Cricetulus griseus: one gene and its partner. The protein of the gene in region 2 purifies or fractionates together with the protein of the main gene of each other region. This does not show direct contact. Links are inferred from orthologs where the notes say so. Each region holds a gene or a part of one and is shown on either strand. Other genes may lie near its edges.

Region 1 (14,968 bases), on a different chromosome or scaffold from region 2:
TTCTGTTTATGTCTTAAGTCTGTGCACATGTGGAGGTCAGAAGACAACTTGCAGAAGTTGGTTCTCTCCTTCTACCATGTGGGTCCTGGGGAATAAACTCAGAAGGCCAGGATTGGTGACAAGCACTGGCCTTATCTGCTGAGCCATTTAACCAGCCTGAAATAATAATAATAATATAATAAAAATTCTCTTCCTCCTTATTCTCCTTTTTGAAAATGTACATGTACCTTCTCTTTAAAGTTAATATATGGAATACTCCTGAGGTTTTCATGTCATCTTGTGCAGGGAGTTTGCTAATCCTTTCTCTCATTCCAATTTTAGTGTATGTGCTGCAAAGGTGAGCCTCAAACTCAGAGATGTGCCTGCCTCTGCCTCCTGAGAGCTGAAATTTAAGACATGTGCCAACACTCACTGGCCTGAGTTTAATTTTTTAAAAGAGACGATGTCTTTTTATTTAGCTCAATGTCTTGTTATTTAGTCTTGGCCTAGAACTCATTTTATAGCCCATATAGCCTTTGACTCACAATCTTCTGCCACAGCCTTGAAAGTGCAGGAGTTTCAGGCATGCACCACCATTCCTTGTTTGTGTTGGGTTTAGTTTTCTGATACTCTGATATCCACCCCCTCTACACCGTGTGTGTGTGTGTGTGTGTGTGTGTGTGTGTGTGTGTGTGTGTGTGTGTGTGTGTTTGTGTGTGTTTTGAGTTAGGCTCTCATGTCGCTCGTCTAAAACTTACTATGTAGCCAAGGATGGCCATCTATTTTGTGGTTGTAGATTGTGTGCATGTTTGTGGAGGTCAGGGGGACAACCTTGGGTGTTGTTATTCAGACACAGGCATTGTCTACCTTTTTTCCCCTTAAGGATGTGGTCTCAAATTAACCTGAGACCAGTGTCTGTGTCTCCCTAGTGATGAGGTTACAAGCATGAGTCATCTTGCTTTTTTTAATGTGGGTTTTGTTTTTGTACATGAAAATTTTCTTTACTAGAAAATACTTAAGATTTTTAAAATATTTTAAAAGCATTCTCATGGGTTAGGGCAACATTTTTCTGTCTCAAGTGAAACAGAAGTTTGATTGTTTTATACTCACAAAGTGAGGTGTTATAGTTCCAAAATAAATGTATCAAAATGAGGTGTCATAAAGTTATATTGTGAATTGGGTGGAGAGTGAGCAATCATTCAGAAGACCAAACCCACATATGTACAGGGGAGAGCAATTAAGAGGCTAAGCATAAGAGTTGCTTTGGAAGTGCATTTAAAACAAGATGAAAGATCTTTTGACCTTTGAAAATGTCCCAAAAACAATGAAAACACAAGCTTCCTCTTTTTATCAGACTTCTGACTCATAAACCCACTTGAAAGGTCCATATTTACTTATATATGATATATGTAAATACATATATATTATATGTATATCAATATGTATAAGATACATGTATCCTTTCAAGCTTAGACCATTTTATGTTCAGCTTTTTTTTGAATCCCAGAAGGAGCTAGGCATTGTGGTACAAGCTTGTAATCCCAGTACTTGGGAGGTAGAGGCAGGAAGATCATCTTAAACTACACAGTCAGACACTATTCAAAAACCAACAGCTGGGGATATAGCTCAGTGGTAGAGTACTTTCTTAGTATGTGCAAGGCTCTGGATTTAACCTCCAGCATTGCCAAAGGAAAAAGTCCCAGAAGTAGTCTTACACAATACGGTGTAAGAATATGTGGAAAACTGAGTGATATGGAAGTTAAATTGAAATAGTAAATCTCCTGAAGTTTCTATGGTTCTCATTTGACACAAGTTGTATCACCATCAGAATGAATTTATTTGTGACCCATCAAATTGAAGCCCTTCATATCATGGAGAAGCCATCTTTATAAGGGTAACTTGGGTAGCACAATATACATATAGTAGAACACAGCATTTTACTGATCCATTTGGCATGACCTGAAATTTACCTGAGTATTGTTGATAAATATCTTAGTGGACTCTTCTTGTAGGTGGCTAAGTTGAAAGTGATGGCAGCATATCCCTGGGACTGCTGAAAGGCCTTGTCCAAGTATAGGGGGGTTGATTTCAGATGCTTCAATAAAAGTCATCATTTGATTGCTGATTGACTGTAGGACATGGTGCTAACCTTTATAGTTTTCTTCAAAATTCTATGCCTATGATTGCTCACATTCTAAAAGGTTCTGAGAACTCCCCCTCCATTTCTGTTTCTGTAGTCATTCAGGGTGCACCTAAAGCACAGCAGGAACTTGGGCAACTTGGTAGCTGAGAGGATGTCAAAAGGAAGGGCACAAAACCACACTTCCTTAGCGTGGCTTGTCCTGAAGAGCCCTGCTTCCTACTCCCAGTTAGACTGTGTTTTTGTTCCTAAGGCTTTCCAACAATATACAATTCAATTTTAGTACTCAGCATTTTGTAATTACCCACTCATTTCATGGTTGCCAGTTGGGTCCACCTCCACACTATACATAAAGCTTGAGGGATGTGAATTGCTATGCTTGTTTCGAGTTCTAGCTTTCTAGTGCAGGGCCTGGCATGCTGGTGTGCTCAGCAAATATTACTGAGCATGTGCAAGTTTCCTTTTTTTCTTGTCCTTCTACTAACATTGCTGGCATAAACTGAGATAGGTATGAGATTGTCATTTTGGGGAAGGGGCTATGTCAGTTCAGAATGTTCTTCAAATAGGTGAAGCATCATGCCTGCTATAGAGGCAAAAAGATGAGCCAGGTGGGAAAAGTTATATAAATCAGAGAGGCAGGAGACTTTCTTTTTCTTTTTCTTTCCTACTTTCCCTCCCTCCCTCCCTCCTTTCCTTCCTTCTTTCCTTTCTTCCTTTCTCCTTTCCTTTCTTCCCCTGCTTTTTTTTTTCTGAGACAGGTTTTCTCTGTAGCTTTGGAGGCTGTTTGGAACTTGCTCAGTAGACCAGGCTGGCCTCAAACTCACAGAGATCTGCCCACCTCTGCCTCCCCAGTGCTGGGATTAAAGGCGCGCACCACCACTGCCCGGCCTAAGGCAGGAGACTTTCTTACTAAAGAGACAAGCATCTCTGAGAAGTGGATAACTTGATTTTGATGTCTGAATTTGTGATTTTGTTTGAACATTTCCTGGTTTTGAATTTTGTATTCCTTATCCTCTGCTCACATCTTCATTCCCTGAGGATAAAATCTCATGAGATTAGACATTACAACATTTTTCTCATTGTTCTGACAAAATACATCAGGGATCATTTCTATAGTTCGTTACTAGAAACTGTGTAAGGGAGGGAAGGTTTATTTTGAGTCATGGTTTCAGTCCATCATGGCAGAAAAGGCATGTGGTATAAGCATGAGGCAATGATTGGTTGTTCACATTGTGGCTGACTAGGAAGCAGAGAGCTAGGCATAAATTAGGGCTGGGCTCTAACCTTAAGAGGAGCTAGCCAAGTCCCATCTCAGAGGTTTCATAGTCATCATTATCCAACCAACCTGTAGTGGCATCTTGCTTTACCAGTGAACTTGCAGTCATGGCCACATCCTATGGGTGTGGCTTCAGGTGTGCAGATATAACCCCTTATAAGGAAGAGGAGGGGCTGGCTTGCTCTTTTGGGTTGTGGTGAGAGCATTGGAAGGGCAGAGACTGCATCTTCTGGAGCAGGAAGACCAAGGTGGTTATTTACTATTATTTGGGTAAGTGCCATCCTAATACCTGTTTATCATTTATCTTGGGTCGGGTGAACTCATTTAAACCTATCTTCACCAACCCCTACCATTAATAGTATCATCAAGCGGAGGACAAGCATTGAAAACACTATCACAACTTCGAGAACATTCCAGACACTGTAGTTAAAAGAAATGATCATTCTGGGTTTTAAGAAAATATTTTCTGGAGAGACATGAATCATGTTAGGATAAGCATAATTATGAGGGTGTTGTTTTATAGTTGATAGTGATTTCAAATTATCTAGTTATCAAAAATTATAAAATTGTTCAGCTGGGTGTAAAGAAAGGGCTGCTGAGAAAAGGTTGGTTCATCCAAGTTAAAGAGAATAGAGTGAGTGCTTGCTAGGGGTTGAAGTACTACAATAAGCCTTTTATTTGGAAGAGACAGACATGGAGAGGTCGTGATTTGCCTTAGATTACACAAGCTAGACTTCCATACCACGCGGTGTCTCGGGTGCGGTTGCTAAGGTGGTACAACTCCCAGGTGAGCAGTCCTGGGAGGGTCTCCAGTGAAGTATACTGCATGATTTGTGTTTGCTACCATAGGTCTTCAGGTCTTTAGACTGCTATTTTGTTTTAAATTAAATTTTGTGTGTATAGGTGTTTTGTCTGCATGCATGTGTAGTACTCTGTATCTGCCTGGTGCTGGCTGAGGTCAGAAGATGGTGTCAGATTCCCTGGAAATGGAGTTACAGATGTTTGTGAGCCACCATGTGGGTGCTGGGAATCAAACCCATGTCTTCTGGAAGAGCTGCAAATGCTTTTAACCACTGAGCCCAGACAGTTTTGTTTAAAACAAAACAGAAACACAAAAAAACCCTGTTTTTAGTCTCACCTTAAGTTTGAATTTATCTGAGATCAGAATGATTCCACTGCAAATGACTGAAGTTTCTAGAAAAAAATAACCTTTCACACTTACTACTTCTAATAAAAAAGGTTGAATACCATGTTAGTCATTGTCCCATTCTTGTGACAAGAGAATTAAGGAAGTTAATAGAGGAAAAGGTTTATTTTAATCCATGGACACTTAGCTTGTTGTTTTGTGGTAAGTGCACAATGATAGGGAGTATGGAGAGCAAAATTGCTAACCTAATGAGAGCCAGGGAGAGAGGTTGGAGAGGGGGAGAAAAAGGGAGAGAGAGAAAGGGAAGAGTGAGTGAGGGAGGGAGGAAGAGAGAAAGAGAAGAAAAGGAGAGACATGCACACACACATACAAACACTCACATACAAGCATATACTACTGGCCTAACTTCCTTCCAGGACCCATTTCTAAAAGGTTCTACTGCCTCCCAGTAGCACCACAGGCTGGTGAAGGACACTTTAGCACGTGGACTTTAGGGAGATATTTAAGATCTGAACCATAAGCCGGGTGGTGGTAGCACATGACTCTAATTCTAGCACTTGGGAAGCAGATACAGGTAGATTTCAGAGTTTGAGGCCAGCCTGGTCTACAGTGTGAGTTCCAGGACAGCCAGGGTTACATAGAGAAACCCTGTCTTAACAACAAGATTTTGGGCCAAACATACCTTTCCCTGAAGGTGTACCAAATATTATTAAGAAGCTTAAAAACAGCCGGGCATTGGTGGCGTATGCCTTTAATCCCAGAACTCGTGAGGCAGAGGCAGGCAGATCTCTGTGAGTTTGAAGCCAGGCTGGTCTACAGATCGAGTTCCAGGACAACCTCCAAAGCAATACAGAGAAACCCTGTCTCAAAAAAACAAAACAAAACAAAACAAAACAAAAAAAACCAACCGCTTAAAAAACATTTGTCAATGGGCTGGAGAGATGCCTTTGTAGGTAAAGTGACTTCTGCACAAGATGAGGACCTGAATTCAGATTCCCAACATTGATAGTATGGTAGTGAATGTGTGTATATAAACCTACTCTGTGTGTGTGGGGGGGGGCGAGGATGGGGGATGAATTAGGCAGATCGCTGGAGCTGGCTGGACAGCCTGATATATCTAATTCATGTGTGCTGGGTTCAATGACAGACCTTGTCTCAAAAAAAAAAAAAAAAAAAAAAAAAAAAAAAGGTGGAGAGTGATAGCAGAGGTCACCTGAAGTCAACTTCAGGCTTCCACATGCACACACATATATCTGCACACACAAAAATCTGACAAAACAAAACATTCAATTACAAGGGTCTTTTTACATCATTAGCTCCTCATAGAGGCTACAGTGGTTCTATGTAAATCCAAGTCTCTTTCTCTCTGTGGTATTTCTTCACATTGTACTTTGAAATTGAAAAGCAAATGTGAAGCTAGGATCACAGCACCTGCTTGTGATCCCTTTGTTTGTGAGGCATAAGTAGGATGATTGTGAGTTCAAGGCCAGCTTAGCCTATATAACAAGAACTGATAAAAAGGAGAGGAGGGCTAGAGGGAGAAGGGGAAAGGGTCGGGGAGGTAAGGGAAGAGTTGGGGGAAGGGACTATTGTTTAAGAAACAAGCCCCTTGCCTGGATATTTGGAACGTAATCCAGCCACAGTTTCTGGTGATAGAACAGAAACCCAGGCTAGACACTTGAGGTGAGCAAGCACAAGATAGCAGGTATGTGACTTTTGAATATCACTGATTACATTTCAAAGCCACATTGGAAAGGATATTGGATCATAATTTGTTTTTTGCTTTTGTATTAACCATGTCTCTTCCTATTCCCATTATGAATATCTGAGGTTTTAATGTACAGCAGTGACATCCTAGTAAGGGGCCGTCCCAGAAGGCAATCTGAACTTCTGCTTAGAATATTTACTCTTGCAGCTTTCCTTCCTCATGATTTGTAATTCGAGAGGCTGAGAAGAGAGACGGCAAGGCTTCTTGGATGGATAAAACAACCAGAAGCTGGGATACCACCTTCTATGAGAAGGTTTGCTACCAAATTTTTAAAATTATGCTGTGCTTTGCTTTCTCCCTGTGCTTCCTAAATGTAAATAACACCTACATGAGCAGTCTGTGACTATAGAATAGTTTGAATGTGAGGGTAATTCATTTTTTTCTAGGTGAGCTGCTCAGACATAAAGCAAAATTTCTCTTAGCTAGGTTTCTCTTAGCTGTCATATGACCCTAAATTCTTCAGATCTTATTAGATGTATCCTTGCTTCTTCTTTACATGACACATTTTGAGGTCTTAGAGCTGTGGTTAGGCAAGCTCAATCTGTTAGGGCATGGTTTTCTGTATCATTTGTCTTTAGAAATGAAGTATGCCTTGTTTATACACTCCTGTTGCTTGCATCTCCCCTTTACCTAAAAAAGATGAACACTGTTTTGGTATAGAAGAACTTTATTGGAATTCAAAGAGGTGGTGCAATACAATTATTTGCACTCACTACTGTAGTTCCTTTTAAGTATGCTGAACTCGGGACTCCTAGAAGGTTGAGCTCAATTTAGGAAAGCATAATCTTATGGTTTTACACTTAACAGGGAGATGTCTGGGAATAAACTAGAATGAGAAATTACAACAAAGTATACCTCATATTTATCCTTGAATTTTTGTTGTTGTTGTCGTAGTCTATGCACATTTGGTAATGAAATACCCTTATTAAGGAAAGGTGACAAGTAGAACTTCTTTAGCACCTAACATGTTTGTGGGTAAGAAATGGTTTCTTTCTCATCTGTGGATCACTATTTCATAAATGAAAACGTCTTCAGTGTATCATGAAATTAACGAAAAGAAGAATTTGTTTTAAGCTAAAATTAATGCACAGAATCTCTGGCACTGTCTAATGAAAATCATGTTTCAACAAACCTAGGAAGGTGTGAGTAGCAGACCTAGGAAATAATGTCACTCTCCTAGTTGAGTAGCAGCAGGAAGTTGAGACACAGGAACTTCTCAGTTTGGAAACATTGTTAGGTTTCTTCCGGCAATAAATGATCAAGGAAACATCCGGCTAACTCCTCCCAGACCTGAGCTCGCTTTAAGAGTGACAGGTCCAGCTTCTGTTAGCCCAAGGAAATCTGACAGGGGCTAACTTGTGGCTTTCGGTGTTGAACATGGTGTTATTTTCCATTATGTTTCGTTGGGTGCTCCAGCAGCATCAACTTGCAACAATGACAGAGCTTTTATACTCACCAGGGCTTCACGAAAGGAAACGTGTGACAGCAGCTCCCCAGTTTGGGAATGCTGGGGCCGGGAGCAGCGGCGGGATTCTTTCCCTCTAGATTCTCTGTGCTTTAACAGTTGTGAATTCCCATCTGGGGCCGGTGGCTTTTGGAACCGGGAGTCAGGCTCTCCGGCCCCAGATGGAAATTATTAACAGTCAAGACCTTAACAAGAAGGGCAACGCTAGTCTATCCGATGGACCTGGGTCTAGGAGTGTCTGAGTTCCCTTTTTCCTGGAGTCAATCTGAACGATTAGGTCAAATTCCCGCCAGGGTGTGGTCGAGGGGCCTACCGGCAACTACTACGGCAAGGGAAGACCGGAAGTCCTGCAGGCCCCACCTCGGAGTGGCGAGACTCTAGAAGTCTCCCCAGATATTCCGCCATTATGCACCCAGGCGGCCGCCACGGGGAACGTGCGGAAAGGGAGTCTTTCTCCCGCCTCCCCGGCCGGGCCGCCTCCGTTCATTGGGTAGGGAGAACGCCCCTCCTGCATTTGTACGTGCTCCGGGTGGAAACCGGAGCTGGAGGCGTTGGCGTTCCGGACCGGGAAGGGCCGCGGGGGACTGGAGAAGGCCGCGCGCCCGCCGCTCCTCCCACCCCCCGCCTCGGCCCCGAAGGGGGCTGCACGGGCGACTTGGCGGCGATGGCTCGAGCTCGGGCGGCGACGGCGGTGGCTGGAGGCGGCGGCTCCTCCTCCTCCTCCTGGGCCTGGGCCCGGCGGTGATCCGAGCTGGCGGCCGCGGCCCCCCGATGAGACTGTTGGCGGGCTGGCTGTGCCTGAGCCTGGCGTCCGTGTGGCTGGCGCGGAGGATGTGGACGCTGCGGAGCCCGCTCTCCCGCTCCCTGTACGTGAACATGACGAGCGGCCCCGGCGGGCCAGCGGCGTCCGCGGGCGGCGGGAAGGACACGCACCAGGTACTGGGCCGCAGCCCTGCGGAGCGGGGGCGTGGCGCTCGGCCTTCCCGCGCTCGGCTGGGCCATTGTGCGGGGCGGCGCGCGCGGGCCTCGACCCCGGCCTCTCTCAAACTTTTCCCGGCCCGGGCGCTGGCTCCACGGAGCCTTTTGTTCAGCGTCGCGGGCAGGGGACCGCCTCCGCTGCCCGGCTCCCCAGGCCCAGCATGGGCGCCCCGGAACCCTGCATTGTTCCCAGGCTCCCGGCAGCGTCCGCGCCCGGCCTCAGAATCCGAGTAACTTCGGGGTGGGCCACCCAGCTGGCACCGGGGCCCGAGCAGAGAACAGCCCCCACCATCTCCCGGGCCAGCCTTCCTCTCTCCCGAGGAACAAAACCGAAAGCCGGTCCCTCTTTTTGTCTAGCCGAATCTCTGAACATACAAAGGGTTATAAAGCAATTAACTGGCCTCATGAACCATTCGGCTGACATTTTGCCCTAAGTGCTTAAAAAAAAAAAATGTGTTTGACAGGTCTGGGCTCCCAGCCTAGGAACCCTCTTCCTCTATGCCTATGAGACGTGTCCTTTAAACTTGGGTTTAGTTAGCTGATCAGAAAGGTTGGGATGAGGAGGAGGATGCAGGTTTTAAAGGGAAGAGGTATTTAAAGTCAGAACTGTGCAGCTGTGAATTCTTGTTGTAGTTGATGGGTTTTGAGTCATGGGATTCTACCGGTTGGATGGTCTTTTCATGAGCTGTTTGTACCACTTAAGAAGGATGCGTGGATCAGCTGTGGAATTAAAGAGGGTGGTATTTCAGATTTGACCGTAAGTAGTTTGCGGGTAACCTTGCAGTCACTGAAAAGAGGCCTTTGAATTTAGACAAACTTTGGGCTTCTAAAAGCCAGAGTTTAGTACATATTGATTTTTATAGAGCGAAGTAAGGAATTATTCCTCGTGTCATTTTGGACCTTACCTTTTCATGTATAAAAGTAATATTAAGTTTTTATTTCCTAATTATTGGGATGCATTTTTTTTTTATGATGTTAGTATGGAACTCAGATCCCGGAAACTATTCCACTGTTGGTCGATAATCAGACTCCTTTTTCTCTTTTGGAAGAATCGTAGATTTATGTTAAAAAAAAAAAATCCCTAGTGATTGTGGTGTTTTAGATGACCACTCGTGGTATTGTTAAGAGTATGTAAACTTAGTATACAATCTTAATTATCGCCATGGGCTATTTTATGCTGGCTCAGTGTCATAGAAGTACTACACTGTTAATTGTACAGGCAACAGAATGCCTCTTGTCCGTGTGGAACAAGGAATTGGAAATGACATTTTTAGCAAGGAGTAGGTAGAAAAAAAAAAGATTATTCTCTTTGATGAAAAATTATGGCTCAGTCTCCCAATTGTTGGTAACACTTGTGATTACTGCAGTGACTTGATTTATGTGCTCATAAAAAAGGTGCTTATGGGAGCTAAGTAGTTAAGAGATTGTGTTGTTCAGTTCCCAGCACCCAAGTCAGACACAACTCTGTAACTCCAGCAGGATTGGGTACCTCTGGATCCAACTGGATTGGACACACACACACACACACACACACACACACACACACACACACACACACACACACAATCTAAAATTTTTTTCAAATATTGTACTTATTTTAAAAACTAAAATTGGTTTCTGTAGAGCTCAGGAAGAGTGATAGCAGTGGACACTGTCTCCATGTTTCCAGTTGAGAGCATTTTCTGATTGCATACGTTCATTTATTTTTGTGGTGCCAAGGATCAAACCCAGGATAGGCAACCACTGAGTCACATCCATAGTCCTTGTGTATTTATGTATTTAACTTTGAGCCAGGGCCTTGTAGCTCTGGCTGTCCTAGTACTCCTATGTAATCCAGGCTGGCTTTGAACTCAAGGCTGTCTTTCTGCCTCAGCTCCAGAATGCTAGAATTACAGGTGTTCAGCATCATGTCCGGCTTGCCCTTTGGGTTTTGTTTGTTTTGTTTTGTGTGCCACCCCTACCTGGCCATCCTTAGTGCTTTGAGGGAGGGTCTGCCAGTTTAGGATGAACTGAAAGTTCAGGGTGTCTTCAGAGTCACAACCCTCCTACCTTGGCCTCTTGGGTACTGGGATTATTGTAAGTGTGCACCACTAAACCCTGCCAGACGCTATTTTTGAGGTGAATGCATTTGTGTTATAAAAAGAAATGTCAAGATGAAATGACCAGGAGGAAAGTGTGTGTGCCCAGAAGCCACCATGAGCTGACAAGAGTGAGAGGCTGGCCTTTCTGTATCCTTGCAGACTGCATGGTTCCTTTCTTTTATATTCCAGAATCCTGGTTTGCTGCATAGGTTTGTTGCTTGTGAAGTAACTTTAATGGTTTCCCCCCTTCAAATTAATAGTTTTATAGAGGCTTTCTGGTGTTCATTTGGGTGTGTGGGTTCCATGACCAGCCACATCTGGTTCTTTTGGAGTTGCTTGAAAGAAGAGTTACAGGCTAAACCATACTTAGCACAGGTTTTCTTGGTGGTGTTTTATGAATGATTTATGGTGCAGACTTCTTTGGTTAAAAGAGAGATCTGGAGTAAAGTTTACTCATTAAAAAATGCAGTTTAGTTGTTAGAGCCTGAAGATGCAAGGCTCTGTTGGGCTTAGCTTGAAAACTAAGTGGCTTGTTTCAGTGTACTAGCTTCAGAACTGGATTATGTTTTACTTTGGCAAGAAGCAAGGGATTTCTGAAGAAGGGACATGATAAGCAGGCCAAACTGGTCTCATTGACTTGGGTAGCCTGTGAAATAAGAATAGTCTCGTGTTTTTAAATGGTTATCAATACTATTGTAACATGAGAATTTCTCATATGAAATTCAAATGGTAGAGTCTTCAAATTAAGTTTTATTGAAACAAAGCCACCACATTGGTTCAGCTATGAACTAGGGTGTGTCAGGGTGAAGAAGTAATATTTCTCTGGCCTATTAAAAGTATATATCTTTAAAAGTCTGTTTCCCTCCTCAGTTGTCCACCTTCGTTAATCAACAGTATGGTATTCTCAATCCCAGGATGGAAGGATGGACCCTCTGAAGGAGAAATAGAGAGTAGCAAGAACTAGATGTCAGTCATCATTGTCAGTACACTCAGAACACAGAACGAAAACAACAAAAACCTTTGAATGTAGTCTTTTTGGTGCATCCTACCTGGTGCTTAGAGTTAAAGAACTATTACGGAGCTATTGAAACTTGAAAGGCTCCTCAAGGCACTTGTAACTAGATCCTTGGTAATAACAGTCATCCACAGCCTCTCAATTGATGAATTGAAAGGTTGTTATGAAACTTGTTGGTTCCAAACTATGGCGGTTTCTTCAGGTGAAAAACTTCTGTTTGCTTTTCACATATAACATTTAATGTCTGGAATTAGAGGTCACTTAAAATTATAAGTTTCATATAAACCTGGTACTTATTATTATTTTTACCTTCTTATATAAGCTCAGAACTGCTGTGCCAGCCTCTACAACAGAGGCAGGATAGCATTGGAATATATATTTACAAATGAAAAAGTACTTGAATGTTACAGCCACGGTCAGATGTGCTAAAGGAGAGATTAGTTTCCTGTCTCTATTTTTCAGTTACCTTTTGGAGGTTGGCAGAGGTCAGGCATGAGTTCCATGCTTCAGGGTGCCAGCCAGGTAGCCGGGAGACTGTGGTGAATTGGTGTCTCTGTTCTGCCTTCCAGTGTGGAAGCCTTTGCTGTCGAATACTAAGGACTCCAGAGAAGGTTTCTTTCCTGTTTGCACCCTGTGCTAAAGCCCTTAAACAAGTGCTTGCCTCAGTTTCATGGACCATCAAGATCACTTCCTTCCCTGAATATGCCAAGGGTCATTATGTTCCCCTTCAAAAGTGCCCTAGAGGACCCCATAATCTCTGCTAAAAAGTCTGTTGTTTGGATCATCAGAAGTTTTGTTAAAATTTTAGGATTATAAAACACTAGTCTCGAGAGAGTATTTGGAATGAGGACATTTATTAAGTCAAGGCTAAAGCAACTTAATCTAATCTGTATAAATGGCTCTCCACTATGAATATGAGGACACCTTTCATTGTGTGCATTGAAATTGTTACCAGAATCTAAGGTTTATGCTGCTGGATGCCCTATAGAAAACCTGCAGATAGGACAAGTTTTGGCCAGTACTGAGGAGAGAGAAATTCTTGTTAGACTTGGCCTTGCCAAGTGCTATAATTTATGGAATAGATGTACCAGAAAACCAGCAGATATGCATGTGTATATTTAATTATGGGCCTAAATTACCAGAATTGGGTGCTAAGTCTTTTTCCTGTAGGGTTCATGGGCCAGCGCTATTGGGGGTAGCTTTTTTCACTCATTGTTGATATATCTTGGAGGAATCCTAATTCCTAGAACCCCATTACATATCTCAAGTAAAGAGATACTGACTTGTTACAAATTTCTAGCAAAATGGTGAGCGATTTATGGATTTACTCCAGAGCTGGCTTTTATTTGAGACTGATTGCATTGCATTGTAGAATCTGGGAATGGAATTTCTGAGTCCTTAACGATTGTAGTTCATGGCCTTTTTCTGATCACCTTTCTAATTGGAAAGACTGTTTATTCATTAAATTCAAGGGACCCATTTATTTTGCAAATGATTTGTGTGTCCAGACCGGTAGTGTGGCCTTTCCTTGAACTACCCCCCACCCCTCCAGCCAGCCTTTTCCTTCTGACATAAGAACATTTAATAGGCTTTCATTTTGTACCTAGCACCTTTAAGTGAGTTATGCTTTATAATCCTTATGACAGCTCTTCTTCATAGGCAGCACCACTCCCACTTGACAGATTCAAGAGACTTGGGAGAGATCAGAGTCAGTTGTTGGGTAGAGTTGGGTTTTGAATCCAGCTTTGCCTCAGTAAAAGGCCCAAGTGTTTCCCATACTTCATATAGCTCCTTTTAGGAAACCATGTATTCTCTGAAGGCTGTGTGAAAATGGGCTTGCCTTCTTAATAGGAAACTGCATGGACCCGAGTGGGCCTTTGTGAAGGCACTATGGTTGAAGATTTTGTGGTTTATGAGTTAGACAGTGGTAGAACTGCTCAGTTTGACATGCTTTGGAAAAACTTCCAGGTCTCCAGGTTGCCATTACCTTTCCTCACCTTGGCTGTATGTTCAGAGGTTCCTGCAACCCCATCCCCTAGGTTTTATAATTTGCTGTAATGATTCCCGGATTTAGGCTTAATGGATCGAATCATTGGCCATAGATGGCCAGCTTCAGTCTAGTGTTTTTTCTGTTCTTGGGGATGTAGGATAGGGTCAAAAGTTCCAGCTGTCTAGTCATAACTTTTCCTCCTTCCAGTTTTGGGAAATCCTCTTATTTATGAACAAAACATAATTCTTTTTAATTTTTTAAAGACTTACTATTTTTATTCTATGTGTATGAGTGTCTTGCCTGCATGCATGTCTGGGTACTATGTGCATGCCTAGTTCCCAAGGAGACCAAAAGAGATTATTAGATCCCCTGTAGCTATTACAGAATGTTGTCAACCACCTTGTGGGTTCTGGGAATTAAGCCTTGTTTCTCTGGAAGAGCAAGCAGTAGGTCTCTCCAGTCACCAAAAGACATTCTCCTCCCCCAACCCCAGGGTTTCTCTGTGGCTTTGGAGGCTGTCATGGAACTAGCTTTTGTAGAGCAGGTTGGTCTCAAACTCACAGAGATCCGCCTGCCTCTGCCTCCCAAGTGCTGGGATTAAAGGCGTGGGCACCACTGCCCAGCACCAAAAAACATCCTTATCACCATGAAGATTTCTCAGATATTTTAGGAGTTCTGTACTAGGAATATGGGGGAAAGAGTGAATATTTATTTTTATTATGTCACACTATATAGAGTCAGTAAGCTGTGTTTTATAATTTTCAAGTTCTATTGGTATGCTAAATTCTGTTGTCTTTTGAAAGAAAAGACTATTCATTGTAAAGCATGTGTTTTTTGTGAAAATTCCAAAAAGTAATTTTAGAGAAACTTTAAACCGTGTCCCTGAGCCTTGACAATCAGATGTGGTTTCATAGAAAGATTGTATTTCTTTCACTCTAAAAGTGACTCATCAACCAAGGTTATACAAATATTAAGAAACGTTCACGTGCTGAATGAAGTTTTTATTTTGTGTGTGTGTGTGAGTGTATGTGTATGGTCAGGTGCATAGTTGTGGAGGCTAGAGGAGGACATTGGGTATATTCCTCTATCACTCTCTGCCTTATTCTCTTGAAACAGGTGGGGCTCTCAT
Region 2 (14,891 bases):
CAGGTGTTACCAAGGCCATGTGACCAGCCAGGGACAACACACACTCCAAGGGAGGAGGCAGCCCTGGGCCTAGGGGGAGGGCAAGCGCTGGCTGGAACCTGTCTAGGAATTGGCACACCTTTATCTGATCAGCTCAGAGCTCTGAGGACCTATGTCCGTTAAAGGTCCCAGACACGGGCTCGCACCCTAATGCAGTGGTTCTCCAAACATCTGCACCAAGGTAGATTAGACTTGGTGAGCCTCAGGCTGAGAGAGAACCCCAAAGTCAGGCTGGGGAGATACTTCAGCTGCTAACGGTGCTAGAGGCCTGTTAGATACCCCAGAACTAAACACGCATGTACCCATGCACACACGTTAGTGCACACTTGTAATCCCAGACAGGAAAGGCAGAGATGGGCAGATGCCTTGGGACTGGTTGGCCAGCCAGCTTAGTCTAATTAGAGAGTCCCAGATCTGGGGAGAGGGCTCAGTGGGTTAAATGAGTTCAGGTTTCCAGCAACCATGAGAAAAACAAAAACAAAAAAAAAGGCCACTTGTCCTCGCCAGTAACCCTAGAGTTGGGTGGGAGGTGGAGGACAAGGAGACTCAGGTAGCTTTCTGGCCAGCCTACAGCTCTAAGTTCAGTAAGAGATCTTACTTATTACAAAAAACAAGAAGGGCTAGCTGGGTAGTGGTAGCACATGTCTTTAATGACAGCAGAGGCAGGTGGAATCTCTCTGAGTTCAAGGCCAGCCTGGTCTACAGAGCTGAGTTTCAGGACAGCCAGGGCTACACAGACAAACCTTGGGGGGCGGGCAGGGTGAGGTGGGGTGGGGGTGGGGGTGGACCTGGAGAGATGACTCAGAGGTTAAGAGCACTGACTGCTCTTCAAAGGTCCTGAGTTCAATTCCCACAACCATGTGGTGGCTCACAACTGTCTATAATGAGGCCCTATTCTGCCATGCAGGCATACATTTATTTATGCACCCCTTTAATCCCAGCACTGGGGAGAGTTAGAGACAGCCTGGTCTACAGGGCTAGTTCCAAGACAGTCAGAGCTGTTACACAGAGAAACCCTGACTCGAAACCACCCCCCAAAAAGGAAAACTTAGGGTGAAGGAGACACTCCACTATCAACCTCGGGTTTCCACACAACAAATGAACACAGACATCTGCACACACCCCACCCCCATCCATAAGCCCGAAGGCCTAGTTACCTTCCATGAGAACCAAGGTCACATCTCTTAGGATGGTTAACGTTGTCCCCAGGACCAGCACGGAGAAGAGGAAAGTGCAGATGGGATCCACGTACTTATACTCAGGCTGCAGGAAAAACAGACAGACATGGGGCTCACCAGCATCCACTTGGGTCTATATTTTTCCCTACCAGTACAGTATCAGGAAGGGTCTCTCTTTTCAGGGTGAGCACGGGACTTGCTCTGGCCTGTCTTTTCCAATTTTCTACTCTATTCTCCATCCAGATGACCTCAGGACACATCTCTTCCTAAAAAGATGAGACACAGGCGAAACTAAAAAGGACTGTGGGCATTTGATTCACCATTCCCATTTTATAGATGGGGAAACTGAGGTTCGATGGGACCAAGTAATCCATTCATCACACAGCCTCAGCCACACTCATGGCTCATTTTACAACTCATTATCTCTATGTGATAGGCAATGCCCGGCTTCAGCAACACAGTCATGGGTTTAAATCCGGCTTCTGTGAAACTGTACAAGTAACAGAACCTTTCTGAATGGCATATAGCACAATCACCTACCTTTCAGGCTTCTTGTAGAAGTAAAAGGTGCCAACAACACTTGGAAAGTATTAAATAAACATCCCTTCCCTCTTTCTACCCTCTCATCCTAAGCTGGAGGGGGCCTAGCATGGGGACAAAGCCCTGTGCAGAGAAGCCCTGGGTACTGCCCCACCTCCCTCTTTGTACCCAGATCTGACCTTGAAATATATAATGTAGGCAGCTACCAGGACACCCAAACTCTGCAGAAGGTCCCCAATCACATGGATGAAGGCTGCTCGGACACTGGGGTTCTCCTGTTGCTGTTGGCTGTCTTCATGGCTTTGGTCACCATGGCTGTGTTCATGTCCATGGCTTTGCCCCTGTCCATGGCTGTGCCCATGTCCAGATTGATGAAGGGTCAACCCCATTCTATGGAAACAGACAGAGTTCAATGAGGTAGCAAAGGTTTCATGTCAGCTAGGCACAGTCTACCCATTAGGGCTGGCCTCCCTGAAGGTAAAATTCTGAAGCCCCCAGCACACAGCGATCCTCTTAGGATCAAGAATCTAGTCTGCAGCCTTGGCTTATAGCCATAGGGCAAAGAGTTCTGCCCACAATGGAAGGCTGACTGGGCACAAAATCCCAGAGTTGAATTTCAGAGCAAGGGGGCAATGAGGAAGTCATCTGGTTCATCCCATCATGTCACAGGAGGGGAACCTGAGACAAGCCAGCGGAGGAGACAGAAGGCCCAAACATATGTTCTTTCTAACCAGCCCCCTCTCTTTTACTGGGACCAGTTTCAGCCATGTCAACCTGACTTGGCCTTTGGTCCAGCATGAACCAGATGCATCCCTTTGCTGTGGATAGCCTCAGAAGTTATTCTCCTGGACATGTACTATGAGAGGGGAGGAGAGTTGAGATGGTGGGGTGGGGTGGGGGTCTATAACCTCCCATGTCCCATTTAAAGCAGGACCAATGTATACCATGTGCCAGAGTTCAGGCCGTGAGTGAGATTCAGTGCGGGAAGGGAGGCATGAACTCCGTTCCCTGGGAGTGGGGGTCACTTATAGGGAACCGGGCCATACTTACATGATGTTTACAGCCACCGCGCAGCCCGACGTGATCAACATGGTATCCCCTTTGATCTCATAGTCTCCAGAAATCAAGCGCTGCACAGCCAGGTACACCAGCACCCCAGTCACCACCCAGATGGACAGTACAGACACCAAGGCTCCAAGGATCTCTAGATAAGAAGAGCCCAACCAAAAGAACATTAGCCTGGGCCCTAAGGGTAGGAAGGCCTACTCCCTCCATGTTAGCCCCTCCCTGCAGAAAAGTCAGTATGTTTTTGGTGTTTGCTGAAGACATGCCTCTTCCTGCCAACTCATATATGAGAACTCCTATCTAGAACCATCCAGCTCAATCCTGTTTGCTGTATGTGGAAAGAAACTGGTATGTATGTATGTATGTGTGTATATTCTAACCAGCATGGTGGTGGACATCTCTAATCCTAGAATGTGGGCTGCTAAGACAAGAGGACTGCCTGAGTTTAATACTCTCCTTTTTATGTTTCTTGTGGTCTCACTATGTAAATCAGGCTAGCCTTGAACTCGAGATTCACCTGCCTCCACCACCCTTGTGTTGGGATGAAGGGCATATATATGCCTAATTTTCCTGCCCAAATAAAGGTAAGGTCACTACCTAATTAATGAAGGTAACAGAAGAGGGCCCAAATTCCCCAGAGCTGGAGCTAGTTACAGCCAAGAAGACACGTGCTAACTGCTGAGCCATCTCTCCCTACGGGAAAGTGGCAGTGCCACCAGGAAGGGAACTAACAGCTTAAGGGACTGTTTACTGACCTTTCCCTACCCATAGCTGACCCATAGTGACAGGCAATGTTAGTGCTGTTGTCCTTTGTTCTGAGCCCCTACTTTCTAACATGAACTTTGCTTCTCCATTAACAAGTAGCTCCCAGATAACTGGCACCAAGTCTGTCCCATCAGATTGGGAGTTCCCAGAGGATGGAGGCCAAGGCAGACACTCCCTTTTCCATAGAAGCTGCCTTTTTGGCCTAACTCCTGGCCTTAATTTCAGTCCTTGGGAGGCTGTGACAGGAGAGTTACTGAGTTTGAAGCCAGACTGGGCTATTACAGTGAGTTAGAGGCCAGTCTGGACTATGTATCAAGATCCTGTAAAATAAATAAATAACAAAACAAAAACAAAAACAAAAATCCCCCCAAACTAGCTGTGTGTGGCATACCTGAAATTCCAGGGCTTGGGAGGTGGAGACAAGAGGATCAGGAATTTCAAGGGCAGCCTTGGTTACTTCTTAGTACATTCAAGGCCAGCCTAGACTACTAGAAATGCTAAAACCCTATCTATCTCTTGATTACCCCATCTGTGGCCACAAGGATCCTTACCAGCTCGTTGCCAGCCGAAATTCATGGTCTTGGTGGCCGGTCGGGAAGACATCCACAGGGAGAAGAGGCTAATGAGCATGCTGGCAAAATCGGTGAGCAGGTGAGCTGCGTCAGTCATAATGGCCAGGCTGTGTGCCAGGTACCCACCTGCAAAAGTGACAGCCAGGGTGAAGTTCCCCCTGAAAGAGTTAACCGCCCCCCAACTCTGCACAGCAGGGAGACCACAAGGGAAGACACAGTGGGCTCAAGGTCTCTGCACCAATCAGTTGTTCAATTTGAGCTAAAGAGTTGACATTTTCTTACAGGGTGAGTGCAAAAATCAAGTTCAGGCAGTAGTGGTGCACGCCTTTAATCCTAGCACTCGGGAGGCAGAGGCAGGTGGATCTCTGTGAGTTCAAGGCCACCCTGGTCTCCAGAGCAAGTTTCAGGAGAGCCTACAAAGCAATACAAAGAAACCCTTTCTGGGCAGGGGGGAGCAACAAAAAATTCTAAAGGATATGCGATAGGTAGGGTTTTAGTTGGAGGGGTTGTAGGGGAGAAAGGGAGGGAAAAGGGAACTGGGATTGTCATGTAATTCAATCTTGTTTGTAATTCAAAAAGGAGTTTGTAAAAAAAAGTAAAGAAGATCAAGTTCAATTAGAGCTAGGGAAGCAAAGTAGGAGCTCAGTAAGTACTCTTATATTATTTTCATTATTAATTTAAGTGTGTTTTACCTACACATATGGGTGTGCATCATATGCCTGGTACCCACACAAGCCACAAGAGGACAGCCGATTCCCTGGGACCAGAGTGACAGATGATTGTGAGCCACCATGTAGGTGCTGGGAATCAAGCCTAAGTCCTCCGGAGGAGCAGCCAGTGCTCTTAACTGCAGAGCTGTAACCAACTGATTGATTTAAAAAAAATTAGCCCAGTGATGGTGGTACACGCCTTTAATCCCAGCACTTGGGAAGCAGAGGCAGGCAGATCTACAGCAGGAGTTAGAACAGCCATAGATATGCAGAGAAACCCAGTCTCGAAAAGCCAATAAACAAATAAAAATTAATGGATGTGGTGTCACACACCTTTAATTCCATCACTCTGGAAGCAGAGTTCCAGGCTAGCCAAGGCTAGTGAGACCCTGCCTTAAAAAAAAGAAAGAGGCCGGCCTTTGGTGGTGCACGCCTTTAATCCCAGCACTTGGGAGGCAGAGGCAGGCAGATCTCTGTGAGTTCGAGGCCAGCCTGGTCTCTAGAGCGTGAGTGCCAGGATAGGCTCCAAAGCTACACAGAGAAACCCTGTCTCGAAAAACCAAAAAAAAAAAAAAAAAAAAAAAAAAAAAAAAAAAAAAAAAAAGAAAAAGAAAAAAAAAGAAAAGAAAAATAGAAAAAGAAAGAAAGAAAAACTAATCAATAAAACAGGGATTAGTGTCAGTAGCATTAATGAGAGCATTCAGCCCATGCAAGAACCAACTTTATTTAATTCACACACAAGGCCTTACCGATGATTTCTCCGATCATGAACATCAGGCAGATGGCAGAGGCCAGATAGAGTTTGCGCCGGGCCTTCTGCCTCTTGGAGTCAGGGTGACTACAGGAATCCTTCTGGGCATGGCAATAATGGTTGCTCTGGACAGCCAGCTCAACAGCGGGCAGGTCCACAGGAGGGGTCCAAGCAGCCTCACTCTTCCAATGTGATCCTAAGAATGACCTGGAGGTGGGGAAGGAGAGAAAACGCTCAGCGTTTGGAGGTGGGAGCACAGAGCCAGTCTCTGGGAGTATTGCTGGTCCGGTGTTTCCAAAGCAAGTTAAGCACCGAGCCTGGCAGGTGATCAAGGTAAGAAGCCAATGTTACAGGGGATGCTGGGGAAGTGAGTCTTGGGACCTTGTTCTAAGCCGTCCCCCCCTCCTCCACCCCTTCCCAGGCCTGGAGAGTCTTTACGAACTAGCCAAAGGGCAGGCCGTCCAGTCGAGCGCAGACAAAGAGCAGAGTTCTGGCTCAAGACAGCAGCATGCAACGTAGCGCAGCGCACCCGAGGGCACAGGGCCTCCCCACCTCAGGGCTGCTTGGGATCAAAGTGCTGGAGTGAAGGCGGGGTAACAGGCACCCGACTGTGTCCCACTGGAGCGCACCCGCAGGCAGCGTTCAGGATCTGTGTGCTTGGCCAGCTGAGACAGGTGATCCCCGGGGCTACGAGGCCACAGCCAATTTCCTCTTTCCCTTGCCTCACCCCATCCCTCTGGCGGGATCCCAGGTTCAAGCCCCCGGCCGGACCAACCACAGCCAGAATGGCCAAAGAGGAGGTGCCTGTGATGTCGCCCAGATTCCCGCCCCTCGGGGCTTGAATTTACCGCGCCCCGCTCCTGCTCTCCAACAGGTTCCGCTTGTCCAAGGACGGCATGCCGCCTCTCGCCGTGCGTCCTCGAAGTTGCGCTCCAGACGATGTCAGCTCGGCGCGCTCTCACCTTCCTCTGCTCGGTCTCGCCTCTGCGCCCCGCGCCCGCCCGCTTTATCCCCGGCCCTCGCCCCGTGTGAAGCCGCCCGCCGCGCGTCGTGTGCAAAAGCCCGCGGGGAGGGGGAAGGGTGGCCGGCTGCAAAGGGAACCGCGGCTCGGCCCCCAGCACTGCTCCCCCGCCGCCCGGAGCCTGAAGCAGCCCGCGGCCTCACACCGAGAGCTTAAGGGCCTTTGCCCGGAGCAAAGAGCCTGCTAAGAGCTGCCCAAAGTTGCTAAATTAGGACTGGGTGACCAGAACATCCACTCTTAACGGGCATCTCACCCTTTAATCCCAGCACTCCGGAGAGGAGGCAGAGGCAAGCGAGTTCGAGACCAGCCTTGTCTGCATAGTAAATTCCAGGACAGCTAGAGCTTTGTTACGTAGAGAAAACCTGTTATGTAGAGAGAGACAGACAGACAGACACAGAGACAGAGACAGAGACAGAGATAGAGGTGCCTTAGGGCAGGGATGTGACTACTGACAGAACCAAAGGGACTCCTGAGGTTAGGGTCGGGCTTCTAGCTAGGAAGAGAGACTTCCCGGAAGCTTGATCATTTTCTTTTGTAGGGAGTGACACTCGGGCGGGCTGGGGTGCACTCGGCCTCTGGGGAGGGGGCAGTACCCCATCATAGTACTGCTGGAGTTACAGATCCAAGTTTCCCTTTGAAAGGCACCATTCCTCCTCCTTGCTCTCTGATTAGGATCCGGGCGGGGCGGTGGTGGCGCACGCCTTTAATCCCAGCACTCCAGAGGCAAAGGCAGGCGTTTCTCTGTGAGTTCGAGACCAGCCTGGTCTACAAGAGCTAGTTCCAGGACAGCCTCCAAAGCCACAGAGAAACCCTGTCTCGAAAAAACCAAAAAAAAAAAAAAAAAAAGGGATCCGAGTGGCCGGCTCTCCACCTCTACAAAGAGCAGTGTCCTGTCTCATTAACCGCACCCCAGAAACCCAACAAATTTCTGGGAGATGGCCGTAGGGCCAAACTGATGCCCCACATAAAGTCCATAGTCCACATTTTCTGGGGTTTGGGGCCTATGGCGCCCCCGGTGCTGGCCTCTGATAGGTATCTCCTTATATAGTTGGCGACCTCCCTACTCAATCACTTCATGTGCTAGGTCTTCAGGACCACAGCTTGGAAGGTATATTTGGGGTGCAGCTTGTTGATAGACTGTTCATGCACAAAGCCTTGGATCCTATCCCCAGTGCCCACTAGGGAAGAGAAGGAAGAACGGTGGTCATACTATGTAGCCCAGGCTAGCATGAGAGACTTTGCCTCATGGCAAGGGGAGCAGGACTGAGCAGGATGGACTAGGGCTGAGCTTGACTTACATGCATGAAGCCTGAGTTCCATCCATAGCACCACACAAGCTGGTGATTCCACCTCTGCAGAGAGAGATGGAAGGGCACCGCTATCACAAGTTCAAGGTTATCTTTGTCTATATAGCAAGTTCAAGGCTATCCTGGGGTACTTCAGACTTGTAGGCCCTGTCACACAACAATAAACCCACACCAAATCTCAGAGGATTGGGTAACGGAACAAGTATTTCTGGGCATAATGTATGGGCCTGTAATTTAGCTGATCTGGAAGTGAGACTCTTTTCTTCTACGATCTCCAGTGGTCTCCCCAGCTTAGCACGGAGAACCTAGGTGAGCACTTAAACATCTTTGAAATTAGGCTGAAACAAATAGGACAGCCCGACATGGTTACACATGCCTGTAATCACAGGAATTAAGGAGCCTTGGGCAGAAGGGTCCCAAGTTTGAGGCTAGCTGGGCAATTTACTGGACCCTGTCTCAAAGTAAAAAAGAGCAGAGGTGTGAGCTAAGTGGTAGAGGAGTCTCCCACTATGCACAAAGTCCTACTTCAAGCCCTGGTCCTATAAGCATGGATTAAGTGCTGTTTGGTGGCGTTTCTATAGGACAACCACAGATCACTGTGGAGTTGTAAGGTGGAAAAATTGTGACAGTCTATCACGTCACTCATTTTCTCCTCAATTCAAAGCATATCATAATTATCAATGTTTTGATTTTGGTTTTTTGAGACAGGCTTTCCCTGTATAACAGCCTGGAACTCACTCTGTAGACCCGACTAGCCTCAAACTCACAGAGATTCACCTGCCTCTGCCTCCTGAGTGCTGGGATTAAAGGCATGCGCCACCACTGCCCAACTCAGAAGATTTGTTTTAAATCCATATTTCTGATGATGCCTATAACCCAGCCTGGCTTGGAACTTGTGACTCTGTTTCAGCATCCTGAGTGGTGGGAGGGATTGCAGTCTAATGCCCCATACCCACCCAACCTATCCCTTCCTAAGGAAGGCAGAAGAAACTAGAATCTCTCTTAGGGTAGATCATAGACAGTTTGGCCGGGTGGTGGTGGCTCATGCCCAGCACTCGGGAGGCAGAGGCAGGCAGATCTCTGTGAGTTCAAGGCCAGCCTGGTCTTCAAAAAGAGTTCCAGGACAACCTCCAAACCTACACAGAAACCCTGTCTTGAAAAACAAGCAAAAAGAGTAAATCAAGGCAGCCCAGGTTGATCTTGAATTTGCTGAGGGTGACCTTGGGCTACTGAGCCTCCTACCTTGCCCTCTCACCTGAAGCCACAGAAATTCTGATCTTTCCTGCCTTCTATCTAGGAGCTGATCATAAAAGAATTCTCTGTGGAAACTCATGTTGGTGGGTTTAGCAGACTTTTTGAGTTCCCAGTACATTTCATAGAAAATAAGTAAGAACTATTTATAAAATATTAAAAACAAAACAAAATCAAAATCAAAATCTGGTGTCAAAAAAAAAAAAAATCTCTGGCCTCACCAACCAGAGGGGCCCTGCCTGGTATCTGGGATGAGAAAAGTGCACAGACAGGCTTTGCTGGATGTCCCCACCCAGCTGATAACTTCAGGTCTCACTCTTTTCATCCAATCAAATCCTCAGGGTTCTGATTTAATTGTGTTTGTATTGGAGGACATCTCCAATACAAAAAATACAAAAGGACAGAGTTCCAGAAGCTTCCTAAAGCCAAACACAGAAAGGTTCCTGGAAACTGCTGTGCCTGGAGAGGGCATAGAGTATCCCCACCACTCCCTATAAGCCCCGCCCTCTGCCCCTTATCTATATCCTTTGAGATGAATTCATAAGTGTTAAGTTAGCATTTCCCTGGGTTCTTAGCAACTCTATGGTGCCCAAAAAGGGAAGCGGTGAGAAGATAAAGCCTGGAGCTTGTGCATGTTATCAAAAGAGAAAGAGGATTGTCCTGAAGACCAAGAACTACAAGTAGATTGAATTGCATTTGTGGACAACCTGCTGTGATCCACTGCAAAATTAATTTCTTGCCTGGTGTGTACATCTAGTGTTCGAAGAGTTTATCTGGAGAAATCCCATTTGAAGTAGGCCTTTCCCTGTATCCTCCGAAAGGATTTTTTTGTTTTTGTTTTTCGAGACAGGGTTTCTGTTTAGCTTTGTAGACCAGGCTGGCCTGGAACTCAGACATCTGCCTGCCTCTGCCTCCCAAGTGCTGGCATTAAAGGTGTGAGCCACCAACGCCCAGCTCAGAAACAATTTTAATTGATTTGCGAGAGTTTGTGCTGAGGATGTAGCTCAGTGACAGAGCGATTGGCTAGCATTCCTCGGGCCCTGGGTTCAATTCCAAAACACACACTCATGCATGTGCACTTGCGTGTGCAGGTGCAAGCTCACACACATGATCACCTAACAAAAAATTGCATTTAAAACTTCAACAAGGGTGCTGGAGAGTCAAAGGAGTCAATGGTTAAAAGAACTTACTGCTTTCCCACACCTTTAATCCCAGCACAAGGGAGGCAGAGGCAGGGGGATCTCTGTGAGTTCAAGGCCAGCCTGGTCTACAGAGTGAGTGCTAGGACATCCAGGGTGACACAAAGAAACCCTGTCTGGTGGGGGCCAGGGAGAGGACTTCAGTTCCCTCCTTCCACAAGCATATATAAGTAGCGAGGGCTCTTAAATAAGAGATCTGCCTAAAAGTGATCAGCTGACCTGCCAGAAAGAAGCTCACCCGACTCAACTGCCTCGGAAGGACGGAATGCCGTGCTGTGTGTTCCAGGCTTCCAACGTTGTTGACCTGTCCCCATGCCGAAGAAGGATTTTAGCGATGCAGCTGTCAGTCATTTCTGCACCTGGAAGTAACCTTTCACCCACATTCCTGTAAGTAAACCCAATAAAACTAGCCTCATCAGGTTGGCAAGATTAGGGACTATAATGCCTGCTCTCTAGTCAGGAAGTTGGAGTGGTGATGAGAAAACATATTGTGAGCCAGTTGTGTGATGTGATTTCCAGGCGGTGGGTGCGTCTGTCTTCATTGTCTAATTATTTATCTCCCTGTGTATCCCAGGCTGGCTTGAACTCTCAATCCACCTGCCCCAGTGACTTCAGTGCTGGGATCAAAGGTCACTATGCCCCGCCTCTCTCTTTCTGGCCTTGAAAACCTTTAAAGTCTTCTGCAGGAGAATACTTGAAAATAGGACGGTAAAGCAGACTCGTCAGATAAAGCTGAGTCCCCAAACCTGATGGCCTGAGTTCCATCCCTGGTACCCACATGGTCGAAGGAGACAACAGATTCCTTGTAAGTTTTCCTCTGGCCTCCACATGTGTGCTGAGGCATGGGTTTCCTCTCCCCCCCCCCCCACAAAAACACGTGAATAAAATGTAAAAAAGTAAGAAAGTTAAGTGCTTTTGGCCAGAGTTGCCATCTTCCAGTAATTTGACAATGTTAAGTTTCAGACCCAGGACAGATGGCTGAGGTGTCTATTTAACTTATCAAAACAGACCTGGCTGCCACATTCTCCCAGGATACAGCTCCCATACCCCATCTCCTACCCTGAACTTTCCACCCTTCCTTCCCTCAGAGGCTTTTCCCTGTATAATCCAGACATTTTGGTTACCAGCCCTATTTTGGACCTCTGGCCTGCTGCTGCTGCTCCTGGTTCCTGTCTCCCCTCACCCTTCCCCATTCTTCCTCACACGGCCCAGCTCAGACAGTCGTGTCCACACTGGACTCTCCCAGATGTCCCTGCCTCTGGCTCTGCTCTCCCTTTTATCTACAATCAGCTTTCTCCTCCACCATACCCAGGAGCTGTCCTGTCCTTCCCTTTTGTTTTCTTTTCAGACAAAATATCTCCCAGTGAGGGGCTGGAGAAACGGCCCAGCGGTTAAGAGCACTGATTCTTCTTCCAAAGGTCCTGAGTTCAATTCCTGGCAACCTCATGGAGGCTCACAGCCATCTTGAATGAGATCTGGTGCCCTCTGCTGGCCAGCAGGCAGAAGACTGTATGCATAATAAATAAATAAAATCTTCAAAAATATATATCTCCCAGTGAGAAACAAGGGAGGCCCTAACAGCGCTCACTGAGCTTCTAAATGACAAGTGCAAGACTTTACAAGAAAAGTTACACTGCAGACATCAAACATGTATGGGTCAAAGAGGAACACCCCATAAATGTCACCATGGCAAAGCCAGCAGAGTCGACACTGTCCCTAGTGCTACCTAGTGTCCCTTGCTTGTGAATAAGCAAGTTGGGGGCCAGATCCTGGGAGAATGAATGTGTCTACTGAGTATGATCTGAAATGACTTTCTGAAACAGGGAAAGGAAAACAAACCAAACAGAAAGGTCCCTGGGTCCCACTGAAGTGCCAGCCCACAGAGTGCGTTATAAGAGCAAACAGGCGTCCATTCCCTGTGAAGTCATGGCCTGAGAGATGAAAATAAAATAAAAGGCCTCAGTTGTAAAGATACTTTTCTTTCCTTTATTAAAAATTTGGTTATTTTTTAAATTTTTATTTACTTATTTTTATTACATATATGCAGTGTTCTGTCTGCATATTTGCCTGCACACCAGAAGAGGGCACCAGATCTCATAATGGATGGATGTGAGCCACCATGGGGTTGCTGGGAATTGAACTCAGGACCTCTAGGAAGAGCAGTCCAGTGCTCTTAACCTCTGAGCCATCTCTCCAGCCCCAAAGTTTGGTTATTTTTGTTTGGTATGTAGGTGTGTTCTGCCTGCATGCATATATGTGGCCTTGGAGACAGACAAGGGTGTCAGATCCCTGGAGTTGGAGTTAGAGACAGCTGTTAGTCACCATGTAGGTGCTGTGACCCAAAGCCAGGTCCCATGCAACAGCAGGGAGTGAGTCTGAGCCACCTTCCTAGCCCCCAAACTGTTTTTCTTAATTAGGTTGAAGACACTGTGATGTCTCCCCCACTCCTCACCCCCAAAGAGAAAAGACTTAAGAAAGCAAACCATGGGGCTGGAGAGATGGCTCAGAGGTTAAGAGTACCGACTGTTCTTCCAGAGGTCCTGAGTTCAATTCCCAGCAACCACATGGTGGCTCACAACCATCCATTATAAGATCTGGTGTCCTCTTCTGGTGTGCAGATATACATGGAAGCAGAATGTTGTATACATAATAAATAAATAAAAAAATCTAAAAAAAAAAAAAAAAAAAAAAAAAAAAGAAAGCAAACCATGTGTGTGACAGTAAAAATGACAGGGTCATGACCCATGCAGAGTGAAGATATAAGCTGGCATTGGCACAAAAAGTTTCCAAGGTGTACTGGCTTTGTGTGTTAACTTGACACAAACTAGAGTTAATGAAAGAACCTCAATTGAGGAAATGCCTCCATAAAATCCAGCTGTAAAGCCGGGCAGTGGTGGCTCACACCTTTAATCCCTGCACTCGGGAGGCAGAGGCAGGCGGATCTCTGTGAGTTCGAGGCCAACCTGGTCTCCAGAGCGAGTGCCAGGATAGACTCCAAAGCTACACAGAGAAGCCCTGTCTCAAAAAACAGACAAACAAACAAACAAAAACCTGCCTGAAGCTGAATTATTTTCTCCTAAAAACAAACAGAAACAGGCTAAAGGAGGGCTGGGGCCTCCTGCAGATCAGGGTGGAGTTTTTATCTAGTATTTCCATGGTTCTCAATTCCATTGCTAGCAACACACACACACTCTCTCTCTCTCTCTCTCTCTCTCTCTCTCTCTCTCTCTCTTTCTCTCTCTCAAGCTAAATGAAATTACACCTCTTTTCTGGTTACATGGAAAAAAACACTGTGCATTTATTTTTTATTCTTTTTCATTATTATTTTTGAGACAGAGTCTCTCTGTGTAGTCCTGGCTGGTCTGGAACTCTCCATGTAGACCAGGCTGGCCTTGAACTCAGATACAACTGCCTCTGCAGTGCTGGGATTAAAGGGCATTTGCCCCCAGGCCCAGCCTGTTGTGCATTTATTAATAAAACAACATATAACACAAACTCAGTCCTCTCCCCTTGTTTGGGGATGGGCACTGAAATACAGTACATTGTCCCTTTCCAGGCCTTTGAGTGAGACCCAGCCATCCCACCAAGGAAGGGAAGTGGGCAGCTCTGTTAGCTTGACTTCCTTCCCTCTTTGTGACAATCACCAGTCACAAAATGACCAGGCATGATCATACAAAAGTTTTCATACAAAAAGCACCAAATTGACATACATATACAGGTATATACAAAAATCACATTTTAAAAACATACAAAATATTTTGCTTTGCACCAACGTAGAAAAGTGTCCTGTGACGTTTAAGTATGGAGTATGTTTCCAATCCTATTTGAGCAGCTGCTGGACACAGCAGTGGGGGGGGGGTTCTACTCTAGTCCCTGCTCTCTGAGCAGAGAGAAGACACACTTCCCCATTGTGCCCCCCCAAAGGAGTCCCGAACCCCAACCCCCTCCCTAGATGGGCCTATCACCAGCCTCCCCAGTCTCTGCATCCAGAGGGTGTCTATTCCTCGAGCTCCTCATTGGTGTCCTGGAAGAGAAAGTCAGACACAGGCTCATGGTGAGACACAGACTCAAGAGGACCCAGTCCAGAGCTGTGGTGACAAATAATATCACCTCCAGCCTGGGCTCCTTTTTTAGAGCCAAACTAGAATTTAGCTGTCAGAATTCAATGGCTCAGAGCAGTGGTTCTCAACCTTCCTAATGCTGTGACCCTCATGTTGTGACCCCCATGTTGTGGAGACCACCAACCATAAAAGTATTTCATAACTGTAATTTTGCTGCTGTTATGAATCATAACGTAAATATCTGCATCTTCCGGTGGTTTTAGGCAACCCCTGTGAAAGGGTCGTTTGATAACCCTCTTCACCCAAAGGGGTCACGATCCACAGGCTGAGAACCACTGCCTTAGATTCTTCCGAATTAGCTACTTTAGCTGGAGGAATTTGGCTCCGGTAACTAGGCTTGAGCACTAACCAGGTGTAGGGGGACAAGCCCTT

The links.
Region 1: the proteins of Slc30a2 (region 2) and Mettl9 purify together in Homo sapiens (co-immunoprecipitation; 3 studies listed by BioGRID and IntAct, with this or other methods). This does not show direct contact. The link is inferred for Cricetulus griseus from reciprocal best matches to the Homo sapiens genes SLC30A2 and METTL9.

The regions. Positions count from the first base shown.
Region 1 is NC_048596.1:79,618,920-79,633,887, reverse strand, and holds the start of Mettl9 (methyltransferase-like protein 9), read left to right. Parts: upstream 1-8,406; 5' UTR 8,407-8,546; coding exon 8,547-8,711; intron 8,712-14,968. UniProt on the Homo sapiens protein: Protein-histidine N-methyltransferase that specifically catalyzes 1-methylhistidine (pros-methylhistidine) methylation of target proteins.
Region 2 is NC_048595.1:18,949,366-18,964,256, forward strand, and holds the start of Slc30a2 (zinc transporter 2), read right to left. Parts: upstream 6,519-14,891; coding exon 6,469-6,518; intron 5,828-6,468; coding exon 5,619-5,827; intron 4,286-5,618; coding exon 4,139-4,285; intron 2,962-4,138; coding exon 2,808-2,961; intron 2,148-2,807; coding exon 1,937-2,147; intron 1,303-1,936; coding exon 1,197-1,302; intron 1-1,196. Other genes in the region: E3 ubiquitin-protein ligase TRIM63, read right to left, coding at 7,722-7,819.